Linked DNA regions of Nothobranchius furzeri. The protein of the gene in region 3 purifies or fractionates together with the protein of the main gene of each other region. This does not show direct contact. Links are inferred from orthologs where the notes say so. Each region holds a gene or a part of one and is shown on either strand. Other genes may lie near its edges. The genes, in order: rsl1d1, dkc1, ddx21, eftud2, larp7 and c1qbp.

Evidence for each region.
Region 1: the proteins of ddx21 (region 3) and rsl1d1 purify together in Homo sapiens (affinity purification with mass spectrometry; 3 studies listed by BioGRID and IntAct, with this or other methods). This does not show direct contact. The link is inferred for Nothobranchius furzeri from reciprocal best matches to the Homo sapiens genes DDX21 and RSL1D1.
Region 2: the proteins of ddx21 (region 3) and dkc1 purify together in Homo sapiens (co-immunoprecipitation; 3 studies listed by BioGRID and IntAct, with this or other methods). This does not show direct contact. The link is inferred for Nothobranchius furzeri from reciprocal best matches to the Homo sapiens genes DDX21 and DKC1.
Region 4: the proteins of ddx21 (region 3) and eftud2 purify together in Homo sapiens (affinity purification with mass spectrometry; 3 studies listed by BioGRID and IntAct, with this or other methods). This does not show direct contact. The link is inferred for Nothobranchius furzeri from reciprocal best matches to the Homo sapiens genes DDX21 and EFTUD2.
Region 5: the proteins of ddx21 (region 3) and larp7 purify together in Homo sapiens (affinity purification with mass spectrometry; 5 studies listed by BioGRID and IntAct, with this or other methods). This does not show direct contact. The link is inferred for Nothobranchius furzeri from reciprocal best matches to the Homo sapiens genes DDX21 and LARP7.
Region 6: the proteins of ddx21 (region 3) and c1qbp purify together in Homo sapiens (co-immunoprecipitation; 3 studies listed by BioGRID and IntAct, with this or other methods). This does not show direct contact. The link is inferred for Nothobranchius furzeri from reciprocal best matches to the Homo sapiens genes DDX21 and C1QBP.

Annotation. Positions count from the first base shown.
Region 1 is NC_091756.1:27,387,191-27,392,496, reverse strand, and holds the start of rsl1d1 (ribosomal L1 domain-containing protein 1), read left to right. Parts: upstream 1-2,143; 5' UTR 2,144-2,159; coding exon 2,160-2,231; intron 2,232-2,466; coding exon 2,467-2,609; intron 2,610-2,694; coding exon 2,695-2,833; intron 2,834-2,957; coding exon 2,958-3,106; intron 3,107-3,188; coding exon 3,189-3,290; intron 3,291-3,405; exon of another isoform or gene 3,406-3,531; intron 3,532-3,605; coding exon 3,606-3,699; intron 3,700-5,306. Other genes in the region: gspt1 (eukaryotic peptide chain release factor GTP-binding subunit ERF3A), read left to right, coding at 197-365, 740-792. UniProt on the Homo sapiens protein: Regulates cellular senescence through inhibition of PTEN translation. Acts as a pro-apoptotic regulator in response to DNA damage.
Region 2 is NC_091758.1:16,263,165-16,268,444, reverse strand, and holds the start of dkc1 (H/ACA ribonucleoprotein complex subunit DKC1), read left to right. Parts: upstream 1-2,010; 5' UTR 2,011-2,089; coding exon 2,090-2,105; intron 2,106-3,022; coding exon 3,023-3,072; intron 3,073-3,151; coding exon 3,152-3,238; intron 3,239-4,799; exon of another isoform or gene 4,800-5,031; intron 5,032-5,280. Other genes in the region: cinp (cyclin-dependent kinase 2-interacting protein), read right to left, coding at 77-248, 1,353-1,380.
Region 3 is NC_091749.1:53,561,162-53,565,155, forward strand, and holds part of ddx21 (nucleolar RNA helicase 2), read right to left. Parts: intron 1,357-3,994; coding exon 1,222-1,356; intron 1-1,221.
Region 4 is NC_091745.1:13,635,886-13,640,670, reverse strand, and holds part of eftud2 (116 kDa U5 small nuclear ribonucleoprotein component), read left to right. Parts: intron 1-1,459; coding exon 1,460-1,584; intron 1,585-1,663; coding exon 1,664-1,727; intron 1,728-1,804; coding exon 1,805-1,895; intron 1,896-1,978; coding exon 1,979-2,114; intron 2,115-4,785. UniProt on the Homo sapiens protein: Required for pre-mRNA splicing as component of the spliceosome, including pre-catalytic, catalytic and post-catalytic spliceosomal complexes. Component of the U5 snRNP and the U4/U6-U5 tri-snRNP complex, a building block of the spliceosome.
Region 5 is NC_091742.1:73,341,063-73,346,532, forward strand, and holds the start of larp7 (la-related protein 7), read left to right. Parts: upstream 1-1,842; 5' UTR 1,843-1,989; intron 1,990-4,459; exon of another isoform or gene 4,460-4,480; 5' UTR 4,481-4,485; coding exon 4,486-4,681; intron 4,682-4,757; coding exon 4,758-4,858; intron 4,859-4,933; coding exon 4,934-5,017; intron 5,018-5,470. Other genes in the region: NACHT, LRR and PYD domains-containing protein 3, read left to right, coding at 414-497, 623-706, 901-978, 1,075-1,393. UniProt on the Homo sapiens protein: RNA-binding protein that specifically binds distinct small nuclear RNA (snRNAs) and regulates their processing and function.
Region 6 is NC_091750.1:66,120,704-66,125,938, reverse strand, and holds c1qbp (complement component 1 Q subcomponent-binding protein, mitochondrial), read left to right. Parts: upstream 1-2,381; 5' UTR 2,382-2,535; coding exon 2,536-2,776; intron 2,777-3,032; coding exon 3,033-3,183; intron 3,184-3,254; coding exon 3,255-3,351; intron 3,352-3,453; coding exon 3,454-3,549; intron 3,550-3,638; coding exon 3,639-3,764; intron 3,765-3,835; coding exon 3,836-3,985; 3' UTR 3,986-4,365; downstream 4,366-5,235.

The DNA.
Region 1 (5,306 bases), on a different chromosome or scaffold from region 3:
AGCTCAGAGCTGGAACAGGAAGTTATGATGTCCGAGACTATAAACGAAGCTCCTTTAGTTCTGCTGTGAACGTAGCTAAAAACACCAACGCACGTCTTCTGGGTGGCGCTAACACACCGTTGTAGTTCCTGCGCGGTGCATGTTTTTGCCTCCTGACTCGCCTGAACTGATGAGAGTCTGGATTTTCCACCCTCAGGCATTAATCTGTCTGGTTGACAAGAAGACGGGCGATAAGAGCAAAACACGACCTCGCTTTGTGAAGCAGGATCAGGTGTGTATCGCCAGGCTCCGGGCAGCAGGAGTCATCTGCTTGGAGACCTTCAAAGACTTCCCTCAGATGGGACGGTTCACGCTGAGAGACGAAGGTGAGCAAACGCCCGCTCGTCTTCATCGGGGCGGTTCTGAGGTTCAGCTCTGGATTATCAGTCGGTGAAAACATGACAGGACTCGTATAGTCCTATAAGAAATGATGGCAGCTGAAAATGTCTGCCAACTTCAAACCGTTTGTTGTGTGAAATCTCAATAAAATGAAGTTTCTACATGGATTAGAAACTAAAGTTAATCTAGATTTTGTTTATGCAAACTGAAACCGTAAGCCTTTAGTTGTCATTCTTTGCTGTTTTTATTTACTTTTGTGTCCCATAGTATTTATATTTGCTGCATCTTTGTGGGTGGAAATTAAATGTATTTACAAACCTCTACATCCTGTATAAACACGAGCTTTAACTCTAATCTCCAGGCAAAACCATCGCCATCGGCAAAGTGCTGAAGCTGGTTCCAGAAAAGGACTAAATGCACCTGCGTGCATGGAGCTCCTTCACTCGTTACCTGAGGAGAAACGCTGCCCGAGCTGACCCAAACAGCTCCTCTCTCTCTACACACAACTCTGCTGAAGAGAAGATCGCCAACAAGGAGGAAGGAAGCAGAGTCAAATCATATCAAATGAAGAAAACAAGACTGAAATCAGTTTATATGATGAGCAACATGAAACGAGTCCATGTCCAGCGCGTCAGCTTTCTCATATTGAGAGCTCGGCTATGCCACTAATGTAGCTACACGCCCCTCTTGATTACTCCCAGGGCCAGCTGTGCTGTCGGCTGGACACGCTATTTGTTCTTTAGGTCTGTGGATGCGGCGTTGCTGAGTTTGAAGAGCAAGAGCTGAAAACGCTCAGTGATTTCTACATCATGCAAACATTGGAGTTGGCTTGTAATTATAATTAAAAGTGCATCTCCCTTCTTTAGAGTGGACTTGGGAGTCCGGTGGATATTTGATTTTAAAGATTGCTGTATCAGAATTTTAGTTTGGGTTATTTGGACTGAGCTCACACAGTACTACTCTGATAATCCAAGGACAAACGCTCTCAGAAAACAGGCTGTTACATAATCTCAACTGAAAATAAATGATCAAGCTGACAGAGCAGTGTACTTGTTTTATTATGTTTTACTCTCGACATGTTTGATCTGCTTGTTTAAACAATGAATTTAACGCAAATCTACTTTAATAGACTGAATACTTCAAAGTTTTCCCAGTCCACTATGTTATCAGGACCAAGTTAGGAGGAGGTGTGCACATTTGTAAGTGAAGATCTTCATTAAAGAGTTTAACACGTGCATCAGTGTTGACATAAGCTTTATTAATGTTGGATCTAAGGGTTTCTTCAGGTCACCTCAGAGATTACACACATTGCTCTGAATGGGGAATCCTGGACTTAAGTTAGGAAAATCTGAATTCCTCCCTGAGTGGTTAATATTTACAGGTAAGCACAACCACGCAGGCAGCACTCAGTCAGACTGTTTTACTATTAATTTTTATATCTTGTAAGGCCAGACAGTTAAATTAAAAATAGTTTGTTACACTGTTTACTTCTCTGAGCTGGAGACAGTTGTCATAATAAACACATCTAAGCTAGTATAAACAGGTTTTCTTGCTAGATTTATGTCTGCATAAAAACTAATGCAAAGATATTTTTGGGTTTCAAATTTCTTCCTTATAGTTTCACTTATTCTGATCACATTTTGTTTTTGAAACGTGTTAACAGAAAAATGCGCACGTGAAATAGTATTTTAGCCTCAAATTCTCATTTTTGTCAGTTTTTGACATACGAATAAAGTTTTTCAATTTGTATTCGTCACGTGGCCCACGAGTCTGTATTGCGCATGCGCGTTGTCTTCGCACGTGAAGCGGACGGCATGGCGGAAAAGTCAGAAGTAAAACTAGACCGGGCGCAGGTAAAAGTCTCTAAAGTGTCGTTTATCCTCTCACAGTTGTATCAAGTGTTGTTTGAAGTATCAGAAACTGCGTTTGTGAGCTTGTAGCTATTTCCGGTAGATGTAGCGAACACAAGTTAGCTTGTTTGGGCGTTGTTAAGTCAGGCTCGAGACACGCTAGCTTCATTCTGGACCTCGTGGATGTCCTGGGACTTTAAGCAGGAGTTCCTAAGTTTACGTTTATTTACATTTGCAGGTGAAAAAGGCCGTCCAAGCCTTGCAGGCGTTTCTCAAAACTAAAGCAGCCGCTTCAGACTCGCTGTTCTCGGAGGAGACCCAGCCGATCAGCCTGCTCTTCACCCTGTGGAAGATCCCTAAGAAGAAGCAATGCATCCAGATGTGAGTCCCGCAGTCCGGGACTGGGGAGTTGCTCTATTACTGAACTGTGTTTGCCATCATTTTAAGTGTGTGTTCCGTTCTTCAGTCCTTTGCCCCATGGCCATCAGTCTGACACGGAGGAAGTTTGCCTCTTCACTAAGGATGAGCCCCGAATGACCTCAGATCAGACCCAGAGGTTTTATAAGAAGCTGCTGCAGGAGAAAGGTGTCAAGAACATATCAGAGGTAATCTGACCATGCTACCATAATTTAACTCTACCACAATGTCCAGTGATGTCAGCAGTGTAACAGTTTGGTCATTAAACAAAGTCAAAGTTTCCAATGTACTGATTATTTGTTGTTTTGGTAGATTATACCGTACAGGGTTCTGAAGACAGAATATAAACCCTATGAAGCCAAGCGTCGCCTGCTGGGAAACTTCAGCATCTTCCTCGCCGATGCCCGTGTCCGTCGGCTTCTGCCGTCCCATCTCGGAAAGCATTTCTATGAAAGGAAAAGGTACGAACTATCCCAGCTGTTTAAGTGAGCGTGTTGAGAGAAGGGAGTTCCAAGTATTGCCGCCATGTTATTGTCTTTGCAGAGCACCTCTATCTGTGAACTTGCAGAGTAACCATCTGGCCCGAGACATCCAGAACATCATCCAGGGCACCACCCTGACGGTCACCAACAAAGGCTGCTGCTGGTGAGATCAGTCCCAGGATGTTTCCATCCCTGTTGCAGCAGATTGAAAACACCTGTTTTATTTGAATGGGGGGGTGTAACAGACTGGGATGAAAGTTTAATGTTGTGAATCAACCGCACCTCTGTACAACCCTGTTGATGGTTTCTGTTTGACGTGGGTTATTTTGGTGCCAGAGAGACTCAATGTAAATCCAGATGGTCCTCCCTCTGATGGAGCCTGTCTCTACAACTTTGATACATAATAAGCGTAACGGTTGTGTTAAAACCTGTCGTTCTGCTGCCACGCGTTTCACCATCCAACTTGGTCATTTTCCAGCATGGCACGCGTCGCTCAGTCGGACATGACAGCAGATGAGGTGACAGAAAACATTGAAGCGGCGGTCCAAGCCATCGTGGCCAAACTCGAGATGGTGGGTGTGATACAGTTGAGAGTTTGATCTTTGATAGTCTGTTTGCTGTCTGTTTTACTCGTCAGATTGGTTATTCAGCACAACTTTTAAACTTGTTTTTCCACCAATTAAGAATGACCAAATGCACGATAAGTGTGAAGCATTTTACTTATTTGCTGCTGGTGTCTTTGTTGTTATTTAGACAACATCTGTCAACAAAAACAACTAATTTAGACCACCAGGGTTTGGTGTTCAGACTGGTACCAGAATCAGTCAGAGCCAGTTCTTATCAGTCAGTATATATCACAATATAAAACAAATCACTGTTTTTGGGCCTCTTTGATGCTCTCCGGTGCTTTAAAGTGAGATTTGAATATATTAGAAGATAATTTTTCACTTAAAGATTTATTTTCTAAAGCTGAACATGTCGAGCCTTATTGAACTGTTTTGGATTGACAAAAGTTGTTTTAAACTGAAATCTTCTCTCATTAGAGAACAGAACAAAAATGAACAAAAATGTTCTGCTGGTTTAAAATAAAAATAAAAACAGACATTCAATTCTCAATGTCTGATTGTTTTAAATGTAGTTTATTTAAGAAGCAATAAAATACAGCGAAAAACGAACAAAACAAAGTTTCATATCAGTGAAAACCTTCAGCAGGTTGCCGTCAAGCCCAGACAATTCCAAAAAAGGGAAGAGGTGGGGCTGTAAGGCTGGGATCAAGTGACGACACCCGGTTGAACTAGCTTCAAGCTAACCAGAAGCTAACCCAAAGCTAATGCGAATGTTGGAGCTAAGCTAACGTAGGTAGCAACCTAGCTACAACCGGAGTTAACTGTGCACAACACCAGAGCTTCTGAGTCAGAGATACGCCGGGCTGACCGCTGTGTAAAACCGGGTGGAAAACATCCGTCTACCGAGAGCTCCACAAGCCGATAGTTAGAACCCAGCTCCACCAACATGTTATATTTCAACCCATTTTCTAAAGTGCAGCTTTATGTTAAATGCACTGGGTTTTACCCTATTACATTTAAATTTCATGGTTAAACAGTACTTATTAAAATCTAAGCTCAGCTCGGCAGTGATCTAAAATACAAAAATATAATTTTACTTACCGAAAAAATGAAGTGGAGACTCCTTGGACGCTCTATTAGCGCAATTAATGCCACAGCAAGTTGTTTTGTCCAACAATTGCACAAATAATATCCAATAAAGAATACACAAACACAGAGACTCAAAATCCCGGAGCAGTTTCCAAGCCAGACCGAGGCTCTACTGAGGCCTTTCCACGAGCTAGCTCTGCGGTCACGTGGGTCTGATGCTCATTAATTATACAGAATTTTAGGCTTTTAATACACTTAAACAGTGAGAATAAAATTCACCCCCCTCAGAGTTGTCATGAGTGTAAACTAGATAATTTAAACCAAAAACATGTTTTGGTACCAGGCTGTAAACATGTTTATTTCTGCTGTGAAATTGGTATTTTTAACATGGGAGTCAGTGAGGATTTGCTCGCTTCTGACACCAGCCCCCAGTGGATGAGGGTGGAACTGCAATTTCTGGTACTTCCGGGTTGGGCCCAATTTTAGAGCCGCATTGTGGGGGCTTGGGTACAACACGTCCACAC
Region 2 (5,280 bases), on a different chromosome or scaffold from region 3:
CCAGAGGGTATCTAGTGTGTGTGTGTGGGGGGGGGGGGGCTAACTTAGAGAAAAATAACCTAAATAACAAACTCACTGCCTCATGTTGACGATACTTGCTGCCAAATTGAATCCTTCGTCGTTCAGCCTGTCCCACCTGAGCATCAGGTTGTGCCAGTCAGCGGCGTTGTCTCTGATCTTCCTTGCACTTCCTGTGATCCAGGTGCACCTCCTGTTTGATGGGGTCGCTGAGGTGTCACAAGAATCACCTAGAAACCGTGAATTTGTGTTATTTCTCCTTTCATGCAGTGAAACGGAGCACACACACACACACACAGAAATGATTTGTTTGTCATACAAAGATCTGCTAAACTAGCTTGGGTAGACAGGTTTGTCCCCCTTAAAGAGACATTTGTCCTTTTGGTTTAACTTCACTTCACATCAGCCATCATCTGACCCGTTTGAGGAGTCATGCTGCAGCTGGTTGGGCCAAACTGAACCTGGACCACAGAAACATTAGCTGTCAGATGAGCTCACAAAGGTCAGGGGTATTAAAGGCCACGGCTCATAGACCGTCTCCAGGCAGCTTCATGGTCCTGGGACCTCAGCTGACAATTTTAATAAAGTAGGAGGTTGATGGGAATGTGGGCAACCACTAAGAACGTGGATCCGAGATGAGATCCACTCTCAGGTTGATCAGAAGGAAGAATCAGACAAACAATGCATCCAGGACTGTTGAAGCCTTTCTGATCCCACCATGAGGGGTTGAAGACCCAGGAGGATTCCTGGTGACAGAAAAACCCAAAAGAACAGACTAGAGATCACCAAAAACCACACTGACGAGCTTCAGGGAGAGCATCATTTTGATTGATGAGATGGAAATCGGCTCTAGAAACACTGTAGAAGATGGAGGAAGATCAGTTCTGTTCTGGACTCACTGCACCTGGACCAAGGATTCCTGAAAAGGTTCAGGGTCCAATCCCAGGACCACCAAGACCCTCTGGAGCCAAATCTACTGTCCAGAGTCTATCATCAGAAAACACAGCTAGGAACACCGAGAATGGATCAGAACCAAGCACTGGACTGTTCTGAACTGATCTAGATGCTGTTGAACATCTGTGATAAGAGCAGAAACATCTGGAGAAAGAACACCTGGAGCAGTGTGGCCACGAGTAATGGGACAGAATACCTGCGGACAGGAACGATCTAAATAAGTTGTCCTAGTGAATGTTGATGAGGCAGCTGGGTTCTGCAGGGTTTCATTTACAACCCTGCAGTAAAACATCCACACGTCATCAGAATGTTTTAACCCGGAAGCTGCAGGTTATTCAGACCTGAACAAAAACTACTTCACTAATCAAGAAGATCCTCACCTTCCATCTGATCCTGAAGTTCTCGCATAAAATCCAGCTGAATTATGCTGAGTCTTCTTCTTCTTCGACGTTTGTGGGTGGTAGCAGTGCAGCATTACTGCCCCCACCTGGCCTGGAGTGGACACACGTTTATCAAACAATAAAAAAGGAAGTATTTTTATTGGATCTGCAGCTGTGGACACTCAAATTCCACTACGCGGAGATAGTGGGATTTTGGGGTTAACTGTAAACACTGATCCGTCCCGTCTGCCGTCCGGGTGGACACTGAGGTATTTATGTTCCTCCGCCACCTCCACCTTCTCTCCCAGGATGGAACAAGCATTTAGCATGTTCCCGTTTCTTCTAAAATCCGCAGTCATCTCATGTTTTTTCCGTTTTTTAACACACTATTGCACTAGAGGCCCACCAGTGATCTGTGTCTCACTACTTAATGACAGACTTATCTGACTCCAAATATCACTGGCCTTTTTTAGTGTTTATTTCCCCCCAGGATGCTAGTTAATTAAAGAAGAGCATTAGAACCACCGAAAGAAAAGTCAGAATTATTTTTCACATTTATTTTTTTCCATTTTATATTTAATTATGTAAAAATTGTATTTAAATAGCAAATTCATTTATTTATTTACCTCATTTGGTTTCATTTCTGCTCTGTGACCAGTTGGTGGCGGTAGTGCACCAAGTACTTTCGTGCCAGCCGCCATAAAACATCAAGCAGAAGAAGAATCTTTCATTAGAAGATGGCGGACGAAGCTGGTGAGTGTCGAGCACGTTTTGTAAGCGACAGTCTGTGTTTAATTTATTGCTAAGTTTGAACATAATTCTGCTGAGTCAGGGATTTTATTAACAACACGTCCACGTGCACGTACAAGCGTGTTTTACGCAGAAGGAATCGCAGTAAAAAAAATTCCTAAGTTGGTCTATGAGGAGGTTTGGCAGCGTCTGAGCCAGTTAAAACAAACAAATCCCTCCACGTGTCCAACATGCTTTAGTAGTTGGGTTTAATTCAATAACAGAACTAAGGGTTTGCTCTGTGGACTCGTGTTTTCTTCATAAGCTCCAGCAGCGTTTAGTGTAGTTAACTTTGAGAGAGCGGGTTCTCGGTCAGTGGCCTGTTAGCTCCGCTAGCAGCCACGTGCGCTCCACCACGTGCTGCAGCTGCAGGCCACGTGGGCTCTATATCATTCATTTACAGTTTTCCAAATTTACCAAACTGCAACAGGGATTTAAATTTCTGTTCCTTCAGATAAAATACTTTCTTTCGGTCGTACTTTTTCCACTGAAAGGCCCTTTTGGGCTCAGAGTTGCACTGGAGCAGGGCCCATCTCCAGGGCCACCATGCTGCACGTGCTGCAGGTTTGCTGCTCCTGCACACATGAAGGTAATCGCCTGGATAAACCTGTTGAACACTCTTTTAAAAAGCAGGTGTAGTATGGTCCCTGGAGTTAGTGACCTTTAACCTGAGGTTACCTGGGACCAGTAACCTGTTATAATGCAATGTTCAGTTCCCGGTGGGCATGAAGACTCGTCTAGAATATTGGTGAACACTTGAGCAGTCTGGCTAGTGACAAAACACCACTTAGGGCCCGGTAGATTGTTGTTCTCTGAGAAAATCCTGGAATTCTGATTTTAGGAAGGATTTATGCTACTTTAGTTTGGTTTTTATTTTGCAGCATCCACAAAGAAGAAGAAGAAGTCGAAGAGAGTGGCTGAAGATGTTGGGGTTGGTGTGAATTTATTCAACTTAAGATCTATTTGGAGATTCTCTTCCTGTTGAACAAACTGATGTTTTTATTCAACAGGAGATCCAAGAGAGTCAAGAGTTTTTAATCCAGCCAGACACCAAAGTCCCCACTTTGGACTCCTCCCAGTGGCCCTTGTTATTAAAGGTCAGGAACCCCTCCTCCTGTTTGTGCCTGCTGACATGTTTGACCCTGGTCATGTGATATGATGAACTGGTTTATCCATTCTCTGAGTGCTGTGGGCCTGTTGTGGTCTTTGCTTCTGCTCCGTTCTGGATCAGAGCTTCTCCTGCGGCTGCTAGAGGGGTCTCGGCGTTCTGCCTGACCACGACCAGTAGCCGTCTGGGGAATGACCCCACTTGACCACAGCCAAGACGACCTCCTATTCTGATCACATTGACTCTGTGCTATAAAGCATTTGTTATCTGCTCTGTTTAGTGACATGTTTGTGGTTTCATCTGGTGTAATGAGTTGACTCGACTAGAACCCTGTTGGAATCGGCTCTAGCTGTCAGACAAGCGTTTCCCCTGGGAATTTTTCCGGTGGTGGTGCTGGGGGGAGAATGATTGACAAGTCTCACCTTTATGTTAATATTAAAAACCCTTCTACACCCCTGCTTAGTAGACTTAATGAAGTATTTTTAAGCCAGTATAAAAATGACTGAAACAAAAATTTACATATTTGGCATTATTGACCCATATCTTTGATTTAATTTGTGTTAAGAACATCAAGATGCATTACAGTGAACATTATAATAAAGTAAATTTTTCTAGTGCAGAGAGGAGACAACCCATAGAAGCACTGATTTGATCTCATTTCAGAGAAAAATAGAACAGGTTAGATGCACCTAATAAATAAAATTACTAACAAACTCAGGAATCTGTTTCTTTGCTTCATTGTTCTGGTGCTGAAAATATCACTAATGCGGATCAAAGGAGATACACAGATGAATGCACCTCTTATTTATTATTTGTAAATTAGTGGGTGTGGTTTACATCAATGCATTATTTTAAATCTGAAATTGGATTGATCAGAAGTTGATATGTGTATTGTTTATCTGAAAACTATTTACAGAGCAGCCTCAGAACTGAGATTAAATATTTTTGATCACAATAGTAAAGAAACCATTACAGAACAAGTTTTTCAGTAAAATCAGAACATTAATGTTTAAGTGCATGAATAAATGCATCTGAACTCATGCAGTAGGAACTAGGAAATATGAAATACTAGAATTTATTTTAATTTGATTAAACTGATTTTTTCCTCACATTGTTGGCATTTTTCCCACACACGGTTAAACAAAACTATGTTGACTGAGGTGTGTGTGTGTGAGTGAGAGAGTTAAAATAAATACATTAAAAAAAAAACCTGAGCGGAGGCAGTGACCGACGCATGCACAAGCCGTTTTCAGCTCTGTCTTGTCTAGAGCTGAAACAACTAATCGATTATAATCGATTATTAAAATAGTTAACAACCTTTTTAGTCATCGATTAGTTGTTTAATAATCATATTTTACCGCATAAAGTCTATTTTTTACCACAATCTGACATCGGTTACAAGCTGTTAAATTTGCCGCCAGTGTGTGGCAGTAATGAGCCACTGATCTACCAGTGGAGCCGTAGAAGAAGAAATGAGCCAATGAGTGCCCTCGGTTTTCATGACGTATCACGTTACTGACGCTCATCTTGCTGTGAGAGATGGCGGAACAAGAGGAAATACGGAAGAAAATAGAAGCGACAAAACTTTAGAGAAACCCCGGACAAAAACCTCACGAGTATGGGAGCACTTCAGTCTAGATGCCTTGAAAAGGCAAAATATGCAAAAACCATCTAGCATGGCACGGAAGCACGACGTCCCTAAGTGAACATTTGAGACGAAAACGTGGGGGCTGAGGAAGAGCACCGCGGTCAAGTGAGCCGTCATTTGGAAGAGCCAGCCCGGTAAGTAACAGAAAATAAACAAGCTGGACTTAGTGTTTTAGCTGAGTTCGTTATAGTGGATGTTAAACATGTTTTTTTGTCGCGTCAGTCTACGGTGTTCTACTTCTGATTGACTAGATGCAATCGTGAATCTCCTCCGTGTTGTGAATCATGCGCTTGCCAAATTCAGCACGTCTGTTTATAAGAATGTTCTAGTTAAGAGAAAAACGGCACAAACCCATAACTATGTTCCTCATTCAAAAAAGGACA
Region 3 (3,994 bases):
GATAGGTGAAAATCCGCGAAGTAGGGACTCCCAGCATGCCCCTCGCGGGGATTCCCTTCACGTCGCACCTACGTCACAAACCGCGGCTATAAACGGAAGTCGCCTTTCCAGCTCACCACTCAGTCATCGTTTCTTCAGATTCACGATCAGAGTTTCCAACCTACCGATCAATCCAACGAACTATCAGCTCATAGTAAGTTATCTTACTTACTTCTGGAAAGCCCGGCATTTCCGTGTCACTTCGTTGACGCTCGAACGCTCGGGGGTTTCCTAGATCAGCCGGCATTTCACCGACGCTATCACTTCCGCGTCTGTGAAACCACGCTCCCTATTGAATTATCGTATGATCACATTCTCTGTGATCAGCAACGCGCTGTGCCAGACCGTAGGTACTGACACGCGATCGTTCATGTCGGTTCATTTCCTTTAATGTTTTCTGTCTTTTATTTGCGCCTGATGCGTTTGGCTGCATGCTGTGGAGCGGGGCGCTGCGGGCATCACCTTGTCCTCCGACGCACTGATCACTGATACGGCCGCCAAACAGTGAGCGCTCCGCTGTTTTTGCGGTCGGTAGATCTTTTAGAACTGCAGTTCAAAGGTAACTCATAAGGTGAATATATATGAACCCAGGCAGCAGTTTTTCTTTAGGATTGAGAGGAGATGCAGGAAGATAATAAACAGGCAGGACAGAAAAATAGTCAAATAAAAACAAGTTAGTTTTTGTACCTGCTGTTGCAACAAACAGACACCATTGAAGGTAATCAGAAGTGAGGAACAGAAAATGAAATAATTATTTTAATGTTTAGAGCAGCAGGAACTCCGAGAGGCTGCAGGCGCATCAGTGAGTTTGCGGCTGCTGCACAGGGGGAGGGGGGAGAGGGCTGAAGCTGGGGGAGGGGGGAGATGGCTGAAGCAGAAACTACCGTTGTTAAAAAGAAATGTGTTTAACTTTGAAAATGTGGGCGCAATTTTAATTGTCAAAAACTCTAGCGAACCATTCGTTCATTTTGCTCAAATAGAAATAGAGGCCTGCCTCTAATACTGGCCCTCCTTCCAATAAAGGCCTGGAGCTTGATGAGCTTGAGTCAAATACAGGCCCGGGCCTGTATTAGAGGATTTACGGTATTTCATCTTATCAAGCCATAAATCTATACAATGAAAAAGGAAATGCACCATCCAGATTCTACCCACATTATTCAAGAAAAATACATGAATGCTTACAGTTCTGTCTTTGAGGAAGGTCATTCTGTGAATGTGGTTTTCAATCTCTTCTCCTAGCTGTTCTTTCATGGTTCTCCAGGCATAACCGATATTATGCATCTCCTGAGAGCACACCAGCTGCATAGTGGTGAAACCCTGCAAAAACAAGCAAAGCATTTGGAAAGAAAAACAAATATTTACAATCCTAAAGGAACAATGAATCTTAAAACAGACCATCCTTGGTTGGCTCTGCTATGTGGGGGAATCTGGGTAAATAAAGTGATGTAGCTGTAATGCCTAGAGCCCATCTGGGTGGTCTTTAAAAAACTAAACATTACAAAATCAGATATAAGCTACTAGACTCTAGAGTCATTTGAGGATGAATGTGCAATAATGTACCAACCTAACCTGGTGGAGTTTGAATGTGTTGACAAAAGACAAAACTTAAGAAAAAAAGCTGAACTTGATGTAAATCACGATGTAAAACAAATCACTATTTTTGTCCATCTTTAATGTTCACTGGTAACTTTAAGTGAGATTTGAAGATATCAGAAGGTTTTTTTTTTAAAGATTAATTTTCATAAGCTGAACATGTAATAAATAAATGTTTTGGATTAATAAAAAATTGGTTTATTTTTAACTAAAATCTTCAAGCATTGGTGGAAATCTGAACTCAATAAAAACAGGCATCAAAAAATAAATTCGTAATTCCTGTGCTTGTTTTGAATACAGCTTCTTTGAGAATAAGTTATAGAAAAGAAAACAAGCAAAGTTTTACACAGGTGAAATTTTAAAGCAGCTTAAAAGGAAAATATTAATAAAATACAGTGTTTCCCCTAGGAATTTTTCCAGCTGTGGTGTGTGTGTGTGTGTGTGTGTGTGTGTGTGTGTGTGTGTGTGTGTGACACGTCTGACCTTTAAGTTAATATTGTTTTATTAGACGCACTCCACTTTGAACTGCACCAATCCAGCAACTGCTGCATTTTAATAACTAGTATTAATGGTGAATACACCAATATTTGCACAAGAGGAATTTTTGTTTTAAACTCTCAGTGACACTTGGGGGGGGGGAAGGAGGGGTTAATTTTTCTTGGCGTCTGGAAAAACATCTTCTGCCCCCCTTTATTTGACTTTCTGCCCCCTTTATTTTGGTCCAAGATCATTACTGGGCTGGCCCTATTAAAAAAGTTCTACACCCCTGCTTAGTAGACTTAATGAAGTATTTTTAAGCCAGTATAAAAATGACTGAAACACTAATTTATATATTTGGCATTAATGACCAATATCTTTGATTTAATTTATTTGTTAAGAACATCAAGATGCATTACAGTGAACATTATAATAAAGTAAAGTTTTCTAGTGCAGAGAGGAGACAACCCATAGAAGCACTGATTTGATCTCATTTCAGAGAAAAATAGAACAGGTCAGATGCACCTAATAAATAAAATTACTAACAAACTCAGGAATCTGTTTCTTTGCTTCATTGTTCTGGTGCTGAAAATATCACTAATGCGGATCAAAGGAGATACACAGATGAATGCACCTCTTATTATTTGGAAATTAGTGGGTGTGGTTTACATCAATACATTATTTTAAATCTGAAATCGATATTCGTGCCGGGATTCCCTCGCTGCGGACGTTCTCTCCGATGACATCATTGGGCATGAGGGGATAAAAGGAACGCTGGATACACGCCCGAGGAGCTACTCCTAACCCATGAGTAGTCTCCATTTCTGCTCCGTTCTGGACACCCTGACTTTGTAGAATACGGTTGTGATTACGTGCGTGTGTTTAGAGGAAAGCCTCTGCATGGTATTCTACTTAAGCCTGAGTGAGTGGTTCCTAGTATTTAGTGCCAATCGCTTCATACTGGTATCTTTGCCTGGACAGAAAACTTCGGGGAGCCTTTTTGCATATAGAAGCTCTTAGAAACCCGTACCAGCCTAAGTAAATATTTCATTTGAAAAGCTACCTGAGATATGTTGATTATAGTCTGTTTTCCAGCTTTTAATTAAAAGCTGTGATTTTTCTTTAGTACCTTTTTTTTTACTCAGGAGTTTTCTGTTGGGCTGTGTCTAGTGGTATTTGTTAGAACCTCCAGCCCCAAGATCAAGTGTAATCTGTGTAACAAAAATAATGTATGTTTTAATTAAATAAGGAAAATATTTTTATACCCAGGTTTCTTTCTCATCTGTTCTCATCTTTTCTCTGTCCTCTTAGCTTCTTAAAGTAAGGGGTAAAGCATAAGTTAAAACCTAACAATATATTTGATCACAATAGTAAAGGAACTATTACAGAGCAAGTTTTTCAATTAAATCAGAACATTAATATTTAAGTGCATGAATTAATACATCTGAACTCATGCAGTAGGAACCAGGAAATATGAAATACTAGAACCAGACACAGCTTTTTATATTCTTTTAATTTGAGTTAACTTATTTTTTCCTAATGTTGTTGGCATTTTTCCAATGGGGGGGGGGGGGGGGGGATAATTTTTAAAACCCGACCGGAGTGGAGGCAGTGACCAACGCATGCCATTTTCGGCTCCGTCTTGTCAAATGCACCATATCCGTTACGACAAAGGTAACTTTAAATATTCAACCGAAAAAGAGGCGAGCTGAAGAAAACCTGGGGAGTACTGAAGAAACGTGAGCAACAGTGAAGCAAGAACAGAGATTGGTTACTGTCTGTGTGTGTGTGCGTGGGGCGGATCAGTTGTGTGTGTAGGGAGGGGTGGGCACTCCATGTGACTGGCCAATCACAGAGCGTGAAGGCAGTCAGTTACCCAATGAGG
Region 4 (4,785 bases), on a different chromosome or scaffold from region 3:
CGTTACGCTTTTGGACTGAGGGGGCAATCGCGAGCATAAAAATTCAAAAGTCCGTAAAGTCCCTTTAAGCTCTGATTTGCAAATAGAAATGCACTGATGCTGACACCAGCATAGATATCGGCCCGATACCACAGCTTAATTGTCGCTGCTGCGGCTGTTCCCCTATTTACCAGAATTCCCCCCACTGGATTTATAACATTATGTGATAAATGACATTCACTCTATACAGGAGCACATTTCCGCTGCACGTGAAAAGTGTTGCAAAACAACTGTGAAATGTACAATGCACAGTTAGCCGCTGCTTAAAGTGGATGAGTTCCAACGGCAGCAAAACGTGATGTTTTGGACACGCCCCAGAAGCAAGGGGACGCTGTCATCACGTTTGAAGACTACTTTTTACACGCCACACTTCCAAAACACGTCAAATTCTGCAGTTTAGATCACACCAGTCAGAAAGTCAAACACAAAAGCAGTGTAGAACATCCAGAAACTTTCAAAATAAAAGTCACACGCAGGTAAACGTACATCCTTTCCGGTTGTAACCCCCGTAGCCGATGTAAACAGAACAGAACATAAACAACAGACCTTTTTGATACATGCAGGTGTTGTTCTCCATCCATCCATCCATTGTCTGAACCCACTTGTCCACGTAGGGTCCCCGGGGGGGGGGCTCTGGTGCCTATCTCCAGCGGTCAACGGGCAATCAGGCGGGGTACACCCTGGACAGAGAGCCAGTCCATCACAGGGCAACATAGAGACACACACACACACACCTAAGGACAATTTAGACAGACCAATCAACCTGACAGTCATGTTTTTGGACTGTGGGAGGAAGCCGGAGTACCCGGAGAGAACCCACGCATGCACAGGGAGAACATGCAAACTCCATGCAGAAAGATCCCAGGCCGGGAAGCGAACCCAGGACCTTCTTGCTACAAGGCAACAGCTCTAAACACTGCGCCACTGCGCAGCCCAGTGTCATTCTCCTTGCTTGTTATTGTGTGTGGACTTTTGAAATCACGTGTAGTGTCGCAATTCTCCTGTGATTTTGTGACATCCTGGGGTCGACAGCGTGGAAAGCTCTCACTCCCTTTTTGCATCAGAAACAGTCCTGATTGGGAATGAACTCGCGGGTAAACCGCTGCTGTTACGTTACGCGACCGCTTTCACGGCTGGTGGAAAGAAGAGGTGAGACTGATTCTGGCTAAGGAGCCTTCAGATCTTGGATTCCTGTCGTTTTCTGTTAAGATTGTATTTTCTATAAGACATTGGTACACTAAATGTGGCTCACAGTGGGTAGTTCCATAAAAGCAAACAAAAAGGAGCATTTTTTTTTCAACAATTTCAAATGATTTGAAGTGGCAATTAGAAAGTACTCGTACTCTGTTTTAAATATCTGGTATTGGTGCATACTGATCTGCAGATCTAACATAAAAAGAGACTTTGTCTTCCTTTTCAGCACGTATTCCACGGATGAGAACTTGGTGGTGTCTCCTCTCCTTGGAAACGTGTGCTTTGCCAGCTCTCAGTACAGCATCTGTTTCACGCTGGGGTCGTTTGCAAAGATCTACTCGGACACCTACGGTGAGAGGCTCATCCTTAAGCAGCTGTAACTACAGTGTAGTTCTCTCAGGACTAATTCACTCCTGACTCTGGTCCGTAGGGGACATCAACTACAACGAGTTTGCCAAGCGGCTCTGGGGAGACATTTACTTCAACCCCAAAACGTGAGTCTCAGTGTCCGCACACGTGGAGCTGATCTTTGTTCACATAACTCAGGAATTCCTTTCTGCTTATTGTTTAGTCGCAAGTTCACAAAGAAAGCTCCCAGCAGCAACTCTCAGCGCAGCTTTGTGGAGTTTGTCCTGGAGCCTCTTTACAAGATCCTCTCACAGGTTAAACATGCCTTCCTCAGTGCTCCGTTCGTCCATCAGACTCAGGTCCAGCTTGCCCGGTGTGTAACTGTCCTTGTGTCCAGGTGGTCGGAGACGTGGACACCTCTCTCCCTCGAGTTCTGGATGAGCTTGGGATCCACCTGACCAAAGAGGAGCTGAAACTGAACATCAGGCCTCTGCTTCGGCTGGTCTGTAACCGATTCTTCGGAGAGTTCACCGGTATGACTGGATTTGAACCGCCTTCGTTTGTCTAGAAATAAGTTTTTCTTCTATGGGAAAAGTCTGGAGTGATGGCCAAAGTGCAAAAATACAAGCTTGTTGTATATAAAGTAGGGTTGTCACGGTAACCGGTGTAGCGGTAAACCCCGGTAAAAAAGTTGACAATAATAATAACCGTCTTGTTTTTAACAAAATATTATCTCGGTGGGTTACCGTGGTTGCGGTGTAGGCGCCATGACCCTTACCAGCCACCGTATCATCTGCTGAAGTTGCCGGCGGCACATGCGCGCTTTGTTGTTTACAACCAAAACTTTCTTGAAGCTAAAGCTGAAATAATGGCCAGAGGAGGAGACGGCAGCACTCAGGACATTTATTATCCCTCAAAGAAGACAAAGTGGGTATCATGGACATGTTTTGGATATATGAAGAATGCCGAGGGACAGTTGATAGAAGACGGCTATCCTGTTTGCAGCACGTGCAGAAAAAGTGTCTGTGAAAGGCAGCAACGCTTCAAATCTCATGACCATCACCCACAACTCTACAGTCAACGCAAGGCAAGCTAACGTTAGCGTTTTAGCTAAAACGCGTGATCCGAGGATTTGGGTTGAGGGAGAATGCAACGAGTTGCTATATAAAGCAGCCGCAGCACCGCTACCTGCATATACAGGTGCTGGCCAGTAAATTAGAATATCATCAAAAGGTTGAAAATATTTCAGTAATTCCATTCAAAACGTGAAACTTGTACATTATATTCATGCAATGCACACAGACCAATGTATTTCCGATGTTTATTACGTTTAATTTTGATATTTATAGGTGACAACCAATGAAAACATCAAATCTGGTATCTCAGAAAATTAGAATATTCTAAAGGCCAATGAAAAAATGTTTGTTTCTCTAATGTTGGCCAACTGAAAAGAATGAACATGAAAAGAATGTGCATGTATAGCACTCAATACTTAGTCGGGGCTCCTTTTGCCTCAATAACTGCAGTAATGCGGCGTGGCATGGACTCGATCAGTCTGTGGCACTGCTCAGGTGTTATGAGAGCCCAGGTTGCTCTGATAGTCGTCTTCAGCTCCTCTGCATTGTTGGGTCTAGCGTATTGCATCCTCCGCTTCACAATACCCCATAGATTTTCTATGGGGTTAAGGTCAGGCGAGTTTGCTGGCCAATCAAGGACAGGGATACCATGGTCCTTGAACCAGGTGCTGGTGGTTTTGGCACTGTGTGCAGGTGCCAAGTCCTGTTGAAAGGTGAAGTCTGCATCCCCATAAAGTTGGTCAGCAGCAGGAAGCATGAAGTGCTCTAAAACTTCCTGGTAGACGGCTGCATTGACCCTGGACCTCAGGAAACAGAGTGGGCCAACACCGGCAGATGACATGGCACCCCACACCATCACTGACGGTGGAAACTTTACACTGGACCTCATGCAACGTGGATTCTGTGCTTTTCCGCTCTTCCTCCAGACTCTGGGTCCTTGATTTCCAAAGGAAATGCAGAACTTGCTTTCATCAGAAAACATAACTTTGGACCACTCAGCATCAGTCCAGTCCTTTTTGTCCTTGGCCCAGGCGAGACGCTTCTTGCGCTGTTTCTTGTTCAAGAGTGGCTTGACACACGGAATGCGACACCTGAATCCCATGTCTTTCATGAGTCTCCTCGTGGTGGTTCTTGAAGCGCTGACTCCAGCTGCAGTCCACTCTTTGTGGATCTCCCCCACATTTTTGAATGGGTTTGTCGTCACAATTCTCTGCAGGGTGCGGTTATCCCTAGAGCTTGTACACTTTTTTTCTACCACATTTTTTCCGTCCCTTCGCCTGTCTGTTAATGTGCTTGGACACAGAGCTCTGCGAACAGCCAGCTTCTTTAGCAATCACCTTTTGTGTCTTGCCCTCCTTGTGCAAGGTGTCAATGATTGTCTTTTGGACAGCTGTTAAGTCAGAAGTCTTCCCCATGATTGTGGTGCCTTCAAAACAAGACTGAGGGACCTTTTAAAGGCCTTTGCAGGTGTTTTGAGTAAATCAGCTGATTAGAGTGGCAGCAGGTGTCTTCTATATTCAGCCTTTTCAGAATATTCTAATTTTTTGAGATACCAAATTTGGAGTTTTCATTAGTTGTCACTTATGAATATCAAATTTAAATGTAATGAACATTGGAAATACATTGGTCTGTGTGCATTGCATGAATATAATGTACAAGTTTCACGTTTTGAATGGAATTACTGAAATATTTTCAACCTTTTGATGATATTCTAATTTACTGGCCAGCACCTGTAAACCGTGTCGCGGACACCCCCATGTTGAAATGACGCTATGCATTACGGGGCTCCCAGGGGCAGATAAGAGTTGGTCTCTCTCCGAGAATAATTATGAATTTAACAATGATTACTGCCTGATGACATTTTCCCACATCTGCAAAGCTCACTGGAAGGACACAAACCGAGGACGATATTTTCCTGATATAGGGTTTATTACTCAAGTAAGGGTAAACAAGTATCTGATTAGAAGGCTACTTGAGTACTGAGTATCATCTGGTCTAATATTTTTAAAATGATGACATCAAACAGACAAAAAATAAGAAGTTATGGGCAAATATTGGTATTTTAAAGACTAAAGGGAAAAATGTAAACAAATAAACAACATAATTACAAAATAACACATTTTAGGCA
Region 5 (5,470 bases), on a different chromosome or scaffold from region 3:
GTAAGCTGACGAGGTTGGCCTCCTTATTTAGACTCGCCTGGGTGATGATGGGTGTGACGCGGTATGCATAGCAACCACTTTCCCTCTGGGATTAATAAATTAATTTTGAATTGAATTGAATTGAAAACTGTGTGTCCCGACAGTACCTCCGACAAAGGTCATGAATACTAACTGTGACTGTGACATAGAAGAGACTGCTGATTTGATCAGTTTTCCTTCTCTTTTAGCTAGCTAATGCAGGTAATGGGAGTTGAATACAATTTACACGTTTAGCATGCATGTGAAACTCAGAGAGACTGGTCATATTTCAAGTGTTACACAGTTTCCCAGTGACGCCTTTAATTAAACAAAACGAAACCACAGCACTGTATGTTCAGTTGCTTTTCCACTGACAAAACTACTATATTCTAAAGGCTTGGAGATAACAACTTGGACATGGATGCCATCCAGGTTATTGCCGATACTCTGAGAGTGTCAGACAATATCACTCACCTTGGGTAAGATCTCGATAAAATATCTGAACACGTTTCAGTTTCAAAATAAACCCAAAGCTTGAAGATTTCCTAAACAGAATGACAGACTAAAATATGTCCCAATGTGTTACTTTCTTTTCCTCATTTAGACTTGGATGGTCAAACATCGCTGATGAGGAACTGGAGGCTCTTTCCAATGCCATACGAGTGAAAAGAAGGCTTCAAGAGCTGTGGTAAGAACCTTCTGAGGGTGACGTGGCATTTCAAATGAACTCTTTAGGGAAGTGAGTCAAATGACAGAATTAGAAATCGGTTTAAGCTTTGGTAATTTTGTAACATTCTTTTTTCCGGTTTGATGAATTTCCACACCTCTTGATTGATGTAAACACTAAGTGGGGGATTTTCTAAACACGCTCTTCTCTCACAGGATGGAGGGGAACCGAGTCAGCTACAAAGGCCTGTTTTCACTCAGTGACTTGACTCCATTTCCACTGAAAAATATTGTGTAAGCTAATGGCTTTGTTTTAAATCAATTTAAATTCTAAATATTTGAACACTTTGTTATTGTAAAAAAATGCATTTAATTTTCATCTTCTTACAGAGCCATATGGAATGACTTGTATGACCCAGAGCCAGAGTCCCTGTGCAGCCAAGAGAGTATTGCTGTGAATTTTACAGATGACGAAATGTGGGACGAGTGGGGGAAATGGGTCCTTCAGCGCTGTGAGGTCAGCAGCAATGAAAAGTTGGTCACGGTACTGCGTAACGTTTGCAACACATCAATAGATTGCGTAGAGGATCAGCGGGCAAAGACTTTCTACAATCAGTTATCGCAACTCATCAAGAAAAGGATTGAGTGCTGCACTGAGGATGATTTGTGCAAGAAACTAAAAAAGTTTGAAAGTATTTTGAACATATGAAAATGTGTAGGAAATATATGAAATATGAAAAATAACAAATGTATGTAGTTTTGTTAATGTCAAATATCGCTTTTTGTGTAACTTCTTATGACTCTACACATACATTAGAATAAAATGGGAAGTATTAAATAAATGAATGAATGAAATAATTAATATGAAGGATGAAACAATGCAGCACAATAAAGAATGGCCCGTACGGAGATTGCAACCGCAATCTTGGCGCTATTAGCACCACACTCTAACCAACTGAACTAACCGGCCACGGTTTACGTCGTGAAATCGTTATGTATTGATCTTAGCTCATATTTCGTATTCTGCTGTCCGCTATATGATGCACATTATTTTGTTTATATTTTTAAAAAAATCGACTGGATAGAGTTCACGCAAATTATCAACAGAATCACTGAAACCGAAATGAATGATTGGTTTACCTTTATTTTGAAAAGACTTGCCGGATGTAGAAAAACGCTCATGACGACTTCAGGCTGCGACGGCTCTGAGCAGTCATTAGTGTGATGTTATGCAGCAAGCTGCGATTTAATAACATTTTTACGAATTTAAAAGCCAACTGGTCTTTTTATATTTTCTTAAATTGGGTAAGTTTTCATTCTAGTTTTTCCTCTGGGTGATAAAGATCGGTTTTCCAGGTTTGGAGGTACTAACACCAGCGCAGCGTTTTTGAAACCAACCCGCGAATTCCCCTGTACTAACGTCGAATGTTGTTAACAAATGTTAGCCTTACGGACCGCGGAAACAGTCAGAAAATGTGTTATTTTCCTTCTAAATAATATATGTTTAGTGCCATTCTGGTTTTAAGTATATTATGCTTCACAATTCAAACAAACACGTCATAAAACGACAAAATACACTCACTGGCCACTTTATTAGTTACAACTGTCCAACTGCTCCTTAAGGAAAATTACTAATCAGCCAATCACATGGTGGCAACTTAATGCATGTGGGCATGTAGAGATCACGAAGACGATCCCCTGAGTTCAAACCGAGCATCAGAACCGGGAAGAAAGGTGATTGAAGTGATTTTGAACGTGGCATGGTTGTTGGTGTCCGATGGGCTGGTCTGATTATTACAGAAACAGCTGATCTTCTGGGATTGTCACACACAACCATCTCTAGAGTTTACAGAGAATGGTCCAGAAAAGGGAAAACATCCAGGGAGCAGCAGTTCTGTGGTTGTTGATGCCAGAGGTCAGAGGAGAATGTCCAGACTGGTTCGAGCTGATAGAAAGGCAACAGTAACTCAAATAACCACTCGTTACAACCGAGTTATGCAGAAGATGCGAACCTTGAGGCAGACGGGCCACAGCAGCAGAAGACCCCTCCACGGGTACCTCTCATGTCAGCGAAGAACTGGAAACTGAGGCTACAACTCACACAGGCTCACCAAAATTGGACTAAAGAAGATTGGAAAAATGTTGCCTGGCCTGAAGTGTCTCGACTTCTGCTGTAACATCCATCCTGCCTTGTATCAACAGTTAATGCTGGTGGTGGTGGTGGTGTAATGGTGTGGGGAACATTTTCTTGGCACACGTTGGGCCCCTTTGTACTAACTGATCATGTTGCAAAGCCACAGCCTACCTGAGTATTGTTGCTGACCATGTCCATCCCTTTATGACCACAGTGCACCCATCTTCTCATGGCTACTTCCACAGGATAATGCACCATGTCACAAAGCTCCACTCATCTCAGACTGGTTCCTTGAACATGACAATCAGTTCACTGTACTCAAATGGCCTCCACAGTCACAAGATCTCAATCCAGTAGAGCACTTTTGGGATGTGGTGGAACCTCTGAGGAATGTTTCCTGTACCTTGTTGAAGACTTAAGGCAGTTCTGAAGGCAAAGGGGTTCAACCCGGTGCTAGCAAGGTGCACCCAGTAAAGTAGCCAGTGAGTGTATATATCTGGTGTAGTTCCTTAAATGGTGCTTAAATTCCGGACGCATTTTAAATAGGGTAAAAGTATAAATAATGCAAATAAATGACAAACTTTTTAATGGTAAGTTAATTAGATGAAGGTTTTGTTTGATTTTTAAAGGTTTTGTGCACCTGTGAACCGACGGCAAGTGGCAAAGAAATCAAGTACATTTCTTTTACAAAACATTCATGTTTTTTTGGGTAGTTTATTAATTCTGGCTGGATCAAAATGATTTTGATGGCTTCATCTAGTCTCTACACTAGATTTAAATACTAAACAGATCTGGTGGCTTAAATCTGTTCTTATCGTCTTTTAAAATGTGATCTCTGCATATTTTAGGCTTTATATATATTTAGACAAACATCAGTTACACAACTTAGCATCCAGACAGCATATTGGTGAATAAACTGTATGTTTCTGGTGTTCAATATACAGTTATAAACTCTGAGAGTGGTAAATATTGTATGATCTGCCAAATGTAGTCAGGGCATGTCAATTGAAGTCTGTTTTTTAGGAAAAGGGTCAAACTACTTATAGTCCAAATGTTGGCCCAAAAAGAGAGTGACACCTTTGTTTGTTTTCAGATTTGTGTATTTTTGGTCTCTTAACCTTATTTAGTCGTTTAACTGTACTGTTTTTACTCTGAGGCGTTGTTGTTATATTACGTATTATAACTACCTTCTCAGGGTTTCTATGGAAATAAGTGCTTTATGCTTTTTTTGTGCTACCCTGTATATTTATTGTTTTTATGTCATATTGTGAAACTTACTTGTATTATTTTATTCTATAATTATGTTATCTATACAAATAAAAAATCAATCTATCAACATAAAGATCATAATAAACAATCCAATGATCTACGCATCCCTAACTCACTCATTGTCACAAGGCTCTACCCTAGAGTTTCTAGTACAGTTTGACTGTAAAAAGTCTTGACTCTCATTGTTTGTGTTCATGTAAACAGCTCTAGACATGTGCGTGCTGCTTGTGTGTTAGCAGCTTGTATTATCAGTAGGAGACCGTCGTTCATTCTGTCGCTTTGTGATTAAATTAGGTCTCGTTCCTCCCAAAAACTCCCGTAAACAGACAAGTCCACAGTCGTCTACTCTTTCTGAATGTGTCTGTGTTAAAGAGCTCCGCTGTCACCCCACAGCCAGGATGCTGAACACAGAGAAAGAAGCAGCTGATGCAGTAACATCTATGGAGAAGAACAAGGAGATGGAAAGAAAAAAAAGGTCTCGAGTTAAACAGCTGCTCAGCGACATAAAGAAGCAAGTGGAGTTTTGGTTTGGAGACGTCAACCTGTACAAGGACCGCTTTCTGAAAAAGCTCATCGATGAGTCCGACAAAGGATGTGAGTGTCTGAAAGTGCTAGTTCTAAATCTCAGATTGACTCGATCAGAGCTTGACGTGTTTTCCACTTCTTGTAGATGTTGATATTTCTGTTTTGACGAGCTTCAGTCGGATGAAGAAACTGACAACTGACACTAAACTGATTGCCAGAGCACTGAGAAACTCATCTGTAGTGGAGGTGATGACTTTTTTTATTCTCGTTACTCGTGACTGTCACTGTTTAAATGACATTCTAAACGCTTTTGTGTTTTAGCTCAACCTCGAAGGAACTAAAGTCAGACGTCAACATCCACTCGGAGACCCACCGAAAAACGTCGACGACCGCACAGTTTACGTGGTAACAACAAACGAAACTCTGCTTTAGTTGCTAATTTTTACATTGGGTCATTTCAGATGATGATATGTTTTTCTATTTATAAATCCCATTAAAAAAGATCAAAGAGTCCATAAAACCCAGCATTTTTGGTGAATGTTCAGTCATCCGGGTCGTGGTAACCCAAAATGGTTCAAATGAAGGCAACTGGACTTCTTTGGTTTTTTGAAGACGTTTCGCTTCTCATCCAAGGAACTTTGTCAATTCTGACTGGAATACGGGAGAGTCAAGTTTATACGCTGTAGCTATCTGTTGTTATTTAACGAGCAGAAACTACTCTGAAAACCCCTCCTCTCGTCCCCCGATGAGTCATTAGCCTCTATTGTGAGGGAGTCGTGTTGATTAGATGCAGGGGGGTGTGACCTACAGTGGGGCAAACAAGTATTTAGTCAGCCACCAATTGTGCAAGTTCTCCCA
Region 6 (5,235 bases), on a different chromosome or scaffold from region 3:
GAGGAGGCAGCGCTCATTTCTGCCTTCAGTCTGACGGCACAGCCAGGGCCGGAGTTTGTGCAGCGTTCGCTTGTTCAATCAGTGTGTGTGTGTGTGTGTGTGTGTGTGTGTGCGGCACAGCTCCATGAGCCGCTCCAGTCACCGCGTCTCGTTATTGGCGCTATTTAAACCAATGTTGTAAAATGACTTCTGCCCAGCCCAGATGTGCTCACTTGTGCACCTGTGAGCCGTGGTTCCGCTGGAACGCGTCTGACCTCTGACAGACGCACTCCGAACTTCAGATCTTCAGCGTGCTGTTAATAGCCTGACACGTTTAGAATGCTGTCCCACAGTCAGTGTGCTAATATAATAATATAATAATGCTAAAATGCTCAGATGGGAATCATTTCGTGATTTATTCAGTTACATCCACAATGTTCTGTGTGTGAGGTTTACAATGTCAGAACACCTGCATGAGACAGGGTGTAAATTACAGTCTGCCAGAATGACTCACCACCTTCAGATTTCTCCAACACCGATAAAAATGATCAAATACGAAACATATCTTGCTATTAACAGCGTGTGCAGGCCAGAGCGCTGAAGCTCGGAGCGCATTATTATGAAGCTAGGTCACATGCGGAGGACACACACACACAAAATATACTTGTTTTCAGTTGCATTTATTGGGCCCACTTACTTTTTCTTAGGCCCACCCACAAATGAGTTTCTGGCTACGCTAATGGTGACATATGACAGACTTCTCTGAGCTCCGCAGCCATTACACTTTTCACCTCGCACACCCCCTAGCGGCAGCTCGCGCACCACACCACACTTAGGGAATCCCTGCTCTAGAAGGTCACATCATGTTGATGAAGGGATCCTCTTTTCTTTTTTACTCTGCACTCAGGATTGTACAACATATACTCTAATTTCAACATGTTGTCACATAAATAGTTTATATCTTTGAAGAGGCACCACGTGCGTTTCAGTTTCCTGCTTAGAACCAAAAATGTTTGCATTTATAATTGATGGAATCTCTCTGAGATCCACTTGCATTTTACTTGTTTGTAAGTCAAATGAAAACCTACTTTACCTACCTGCATGTAGTTTGTAGAATAAAGGCAAACATTAAATGAGCTTAATTAGAGTAGAACAGGTTTTCATATAAACTATTATAATTTCTAATAAAAGTATTCCAACTGTTGAAGTAAACCAGTTAATGAAAGAAATGTTTCAACAAGGTGATTATCATTTTTGTTTGTTTACGACGTGTTTCTATAATGCCTGAAAGCTTTGTTTCCAGATAGAAACTTTAAAGTTTTGTCACAGACTCGTGACATAAAGTCCACCCTCTTACATTTTTAGATTTTAATGCATCATAACAAAGCTGAAAAGGCCAGATATTTACCAGGTATTAAAAGCAAAACGAAAAGTTTTGTGTGGAAAAGGAAGTATCAGCCAGCTGGTAATCAAACCTGAGTTTACTGGTATGGAGAATACAGGCGTGTGTAAACACAGTGTCTCAGTACAGGGGTCAAGAGGTCGCTAACAGCTTAGTTCCAATTTGAACACAACCTCTAAATTGAGGTCAGCCCAATTGCCATCAACAGCAGCTCAGATATTAATTGTTCACAACACCTCCACAGACCTCCGCTTGAAAAAAGGTGAACTGTCCCTTTAAAGAAGATGGTTATCGTAGTTCCATTGTCCATACAAACATCTTTATAAAGTTCTTTGCACAAAATTCTTCTGACATGAAGTGATTTCAGCTTTTTTATTTCGACAGTGAGTTGTTTCAAGCCTCACTTTAAGAAAACATCCATCCTACTCAGGCTAATATAACCTGAGGTGCCCTCATATTCAGGGGGGTTTCAGGTAGAGTTGCTGCTGCTCCATGGGGGTTTCAGGTAGAGTTGCTGCTGCTCCATTGGTAGTACATCTCCCTTGCACCTGGGAGTCAGCGCAACCTCCCCGCTCTCACAGTCAGCGAACGGGGAGAAACAGCCTTGCAGCTGCCCTGGGCAAGGCTGAAGTTCACAGGCGTCACTCTGACCACCCCCAGCAGGTAATGTGACACGGACACAACATGACCGACACCAGCTGAGCGGGGTTTGAACCTGTAACCTTCCAATTATGAGGCAGACACTTAAGTCCTCTTCCACCTTGCCCCAATTCCCTGTTTGTGTCATCACAAACTGGGACTTTTTTTAGGCTTGTTAAACCAAAATGCATATGTCCATTTAAAATCTTCCGCTTGGGCACAAAGGGCAGTATTCAAATAAGGAATTGATGATTAGTTAATATATTTTAGATGTGTTTTTTTTTATCATTTGTACATTATGTGCTTCATTTGACTGATGTAATATGTCACCATCGCTTTAAAAAACATTGCTTCCGGTTCAGAGGTCGCAGTGACGCGAGGTCGCTGTGTCCTTCCCCACGTGCTTCCTGTATCTTCCAGAAGAAGCAGCCGTAACCTGCGTGGCTAAGGGGGCTTTCAGGGGCGTTAGATTAAATTATTTTGTTCTCACACAGCGTTTTAATAAGCACACCGCTATGCTGAAGTCGTTTGTCCGCGTAGCGGGAGCCGCTGCTCGCTTGTCCTCAGTCTCGCGGGCCTTACCAATCAACTGCCCGACTCTGTGCGCTCCCAGCTCGGCTACAATTCGGCCGTTCACCCGCTCCCTGTGGATGCTGAATAATAACGGAGCGTCATCAGGCTACAGACCCAAACTGTTCAGCTCAAAGGTGTTGGGTCCTTCTGTGTCGTGTGGATGTGAAGGACTGCACACAGAAGGTAAGGTCACGTTTTAAAGTAACGTCTTAATCAGCTAGCTTGTTAGCCTCAAGCTAGGAGATTTACAACGTAATTAAACATGAAGTTCTAGGTTTTAAATACACATGTAAACACTCAAGTACACACACTTGTCTTACTTAAGCGAGTTAAGTGAACTTTATACGCAGCATTTCATATTTAGTCTTTCTGAAAGGAGTTTTAAAGGTGTTGATGCTAATTCAGACAGATCTATCATTTTTGCCCTCACTTTATTCAGGCGATAAAGCATTTGGTGACTTCCTGTCTGATGAGATCAAAGAAGAGAAGGTAATCCAGAAAAACAAAAGTCTACCTAAAATGACTGGAGGATGGGAGGTGGGGATGAATGGAACAGAGGTGAAACTCACAAAGCATGCTTCTGGAGACAAGTAAGGATGCTACGATTTGTTCTGAGAGGAAGTGGTGCTCAGTGTGGGCTCACGGTGTGGTCTGATTTCAGAATCACCGTCACGTTCAATGTCAACAACAGCATTCCTCCTAACTTTGAGGAGGAGGCAGTGGAGCAGGGGCAGTCACAGAAATCGGCAGAGGAGGAAGTAAGCCCATCATCAATCTATGACCTGATTGGTCGTGGAAAGAAAAAATGATTTTAACACTTTATAATTCTATAATTGTATCATTTTTGTCCTTCTTTGTAGCCAGAGATTGTGTCAACACCCAACTTTGTTGTTGAAGTGACAAAACAAGCTGCTAAACATTCCCTTGTGTTTGACTGTCATTTTCCTGAAGATGAGGTAAAACAAACATACACAAGCACATGCTAAATAGTGAGGAGCCGGTTCTGTCTCAGTTAAATGAAACCTGCTGGATTTGTGTGTTGTAGGTAAGTAATGCCGAGGGGGAGGAGGAGAGCGACATCTTTGCAATCCGGGAGGTCAGTTTCCAACCAGAGGGGGATGTGGACTGGAAGGAGACCAGTTACACACTCAACACAGACTCCCTGGACTGGGTAAGAGCTGAGACTGGTTCAGAAAGTTAATGAGGCTGCAGGACGCTACTCTCATAGTCCGTTTATTCCAGGCGCTTTATGACCACCTGATGGATTTCTTGGCTGACCGCGGGGTTGACAACACCTTCGCCGATGAGCTGATGGAGCTGAGCACCGCCATTGAGCATCAAGAGTACATCAAGTTCCTGGAGGATCTCCAGGGCTTTGTGAAATGTAATTAATGTCAAATGTAATAGTTTCTACCTAATAAAGATGGAGGCTGTAGGGTAAAGTGCTCAGTGACTGATTAGATGGTCGCCAGCAGCTGCCACACTACTCTTAGTCAGTAAAGGTTTAAGTTTTTCTGTAAAGTGTGGCTGTAACTTGAGAGAGAACCTACTGCCAGTTACAGAAGTCTGGGTTTTACTGCCTGGCTCATCCGTAAAAGTCAGGATTTCTGAAAACGCCAACTAACCTGTTTTTCTTTCCGTTTTTAATTGTTTATTTATGACGGATCTGAGCAACTGAGTTTTTGCTGACTGATGCGGTTTTGTCGAATGAGTGAGGTGATGTTTGTTGGAGAGATGGAAAGTTTGTCCAATAAAACCGTTTGATACCAGAATTCAAATGTAATTTTTCTGTGGCCACCGGTACCATTTAGAGTTACAGTTACCTTTTAGCACAGGGGTGTCCAATCCACTATCCAGCATGTTTTCCTGCTTCAACACAACTGATTCAACAGCTGATAGCAGGTTCTGCAGATGCCTGTTAATCAGCTATTGACTAATCTGAGGTGTGTAGATGCACAGAAACCTCTCAAACAAGGAACATTATTGGAAGCCACTGTTCTAGCAAAACACAGCTGCTAGCAGAGGTATATTCATGGATCCAGTCGCACCACCCGGAGGTGTGAGTGGGGTCGGGAGTGTTTCACAAGCTATTTTTTTTGCAGGAACTTTTCTGCAGCTGTTTCGGTTTTCTTCTGGCCTCTTATCTGTTGCATCTCTAGGCAGGTAGCTGCGGGACATTTGTCAGTTTCCTGAGTGTCGGGTTTGGACAGTTGGACCTTTCTGGTAATCTTGACAGCTGAAGGAATCCTGTTTCTCTTTGTTTTTAGCCTTATGGTCCTGCTCAAGTGGCTTCAGAATTAATCTTCACCCCTGTTCAAGCATTCATATATGCACAATAGTTTTATGAATTTAGGAGAGAATTGATTGCAGCTGTAATCAGCTCTGGGTAGTGACTGAAAGAATGATCGCATATACAAGTGGACAAAATGAGTTTTCTTCTCAGGGTGTCTGAGCTCTCCCTTACAGATAGCTCTTGGTTTTATATCCATCTGCAAACTATCTAAAAGTTGTGTTTTTGTGAATTAATTTGGGTTTTATGCTCTTCATTACTTACATACTCTAATTATGTCTGAACTTTAATTGTGCTTGTACACTTTTCCTTATCCTAATTTTTTAATTCTTATGATTTTAATGCATGTGAC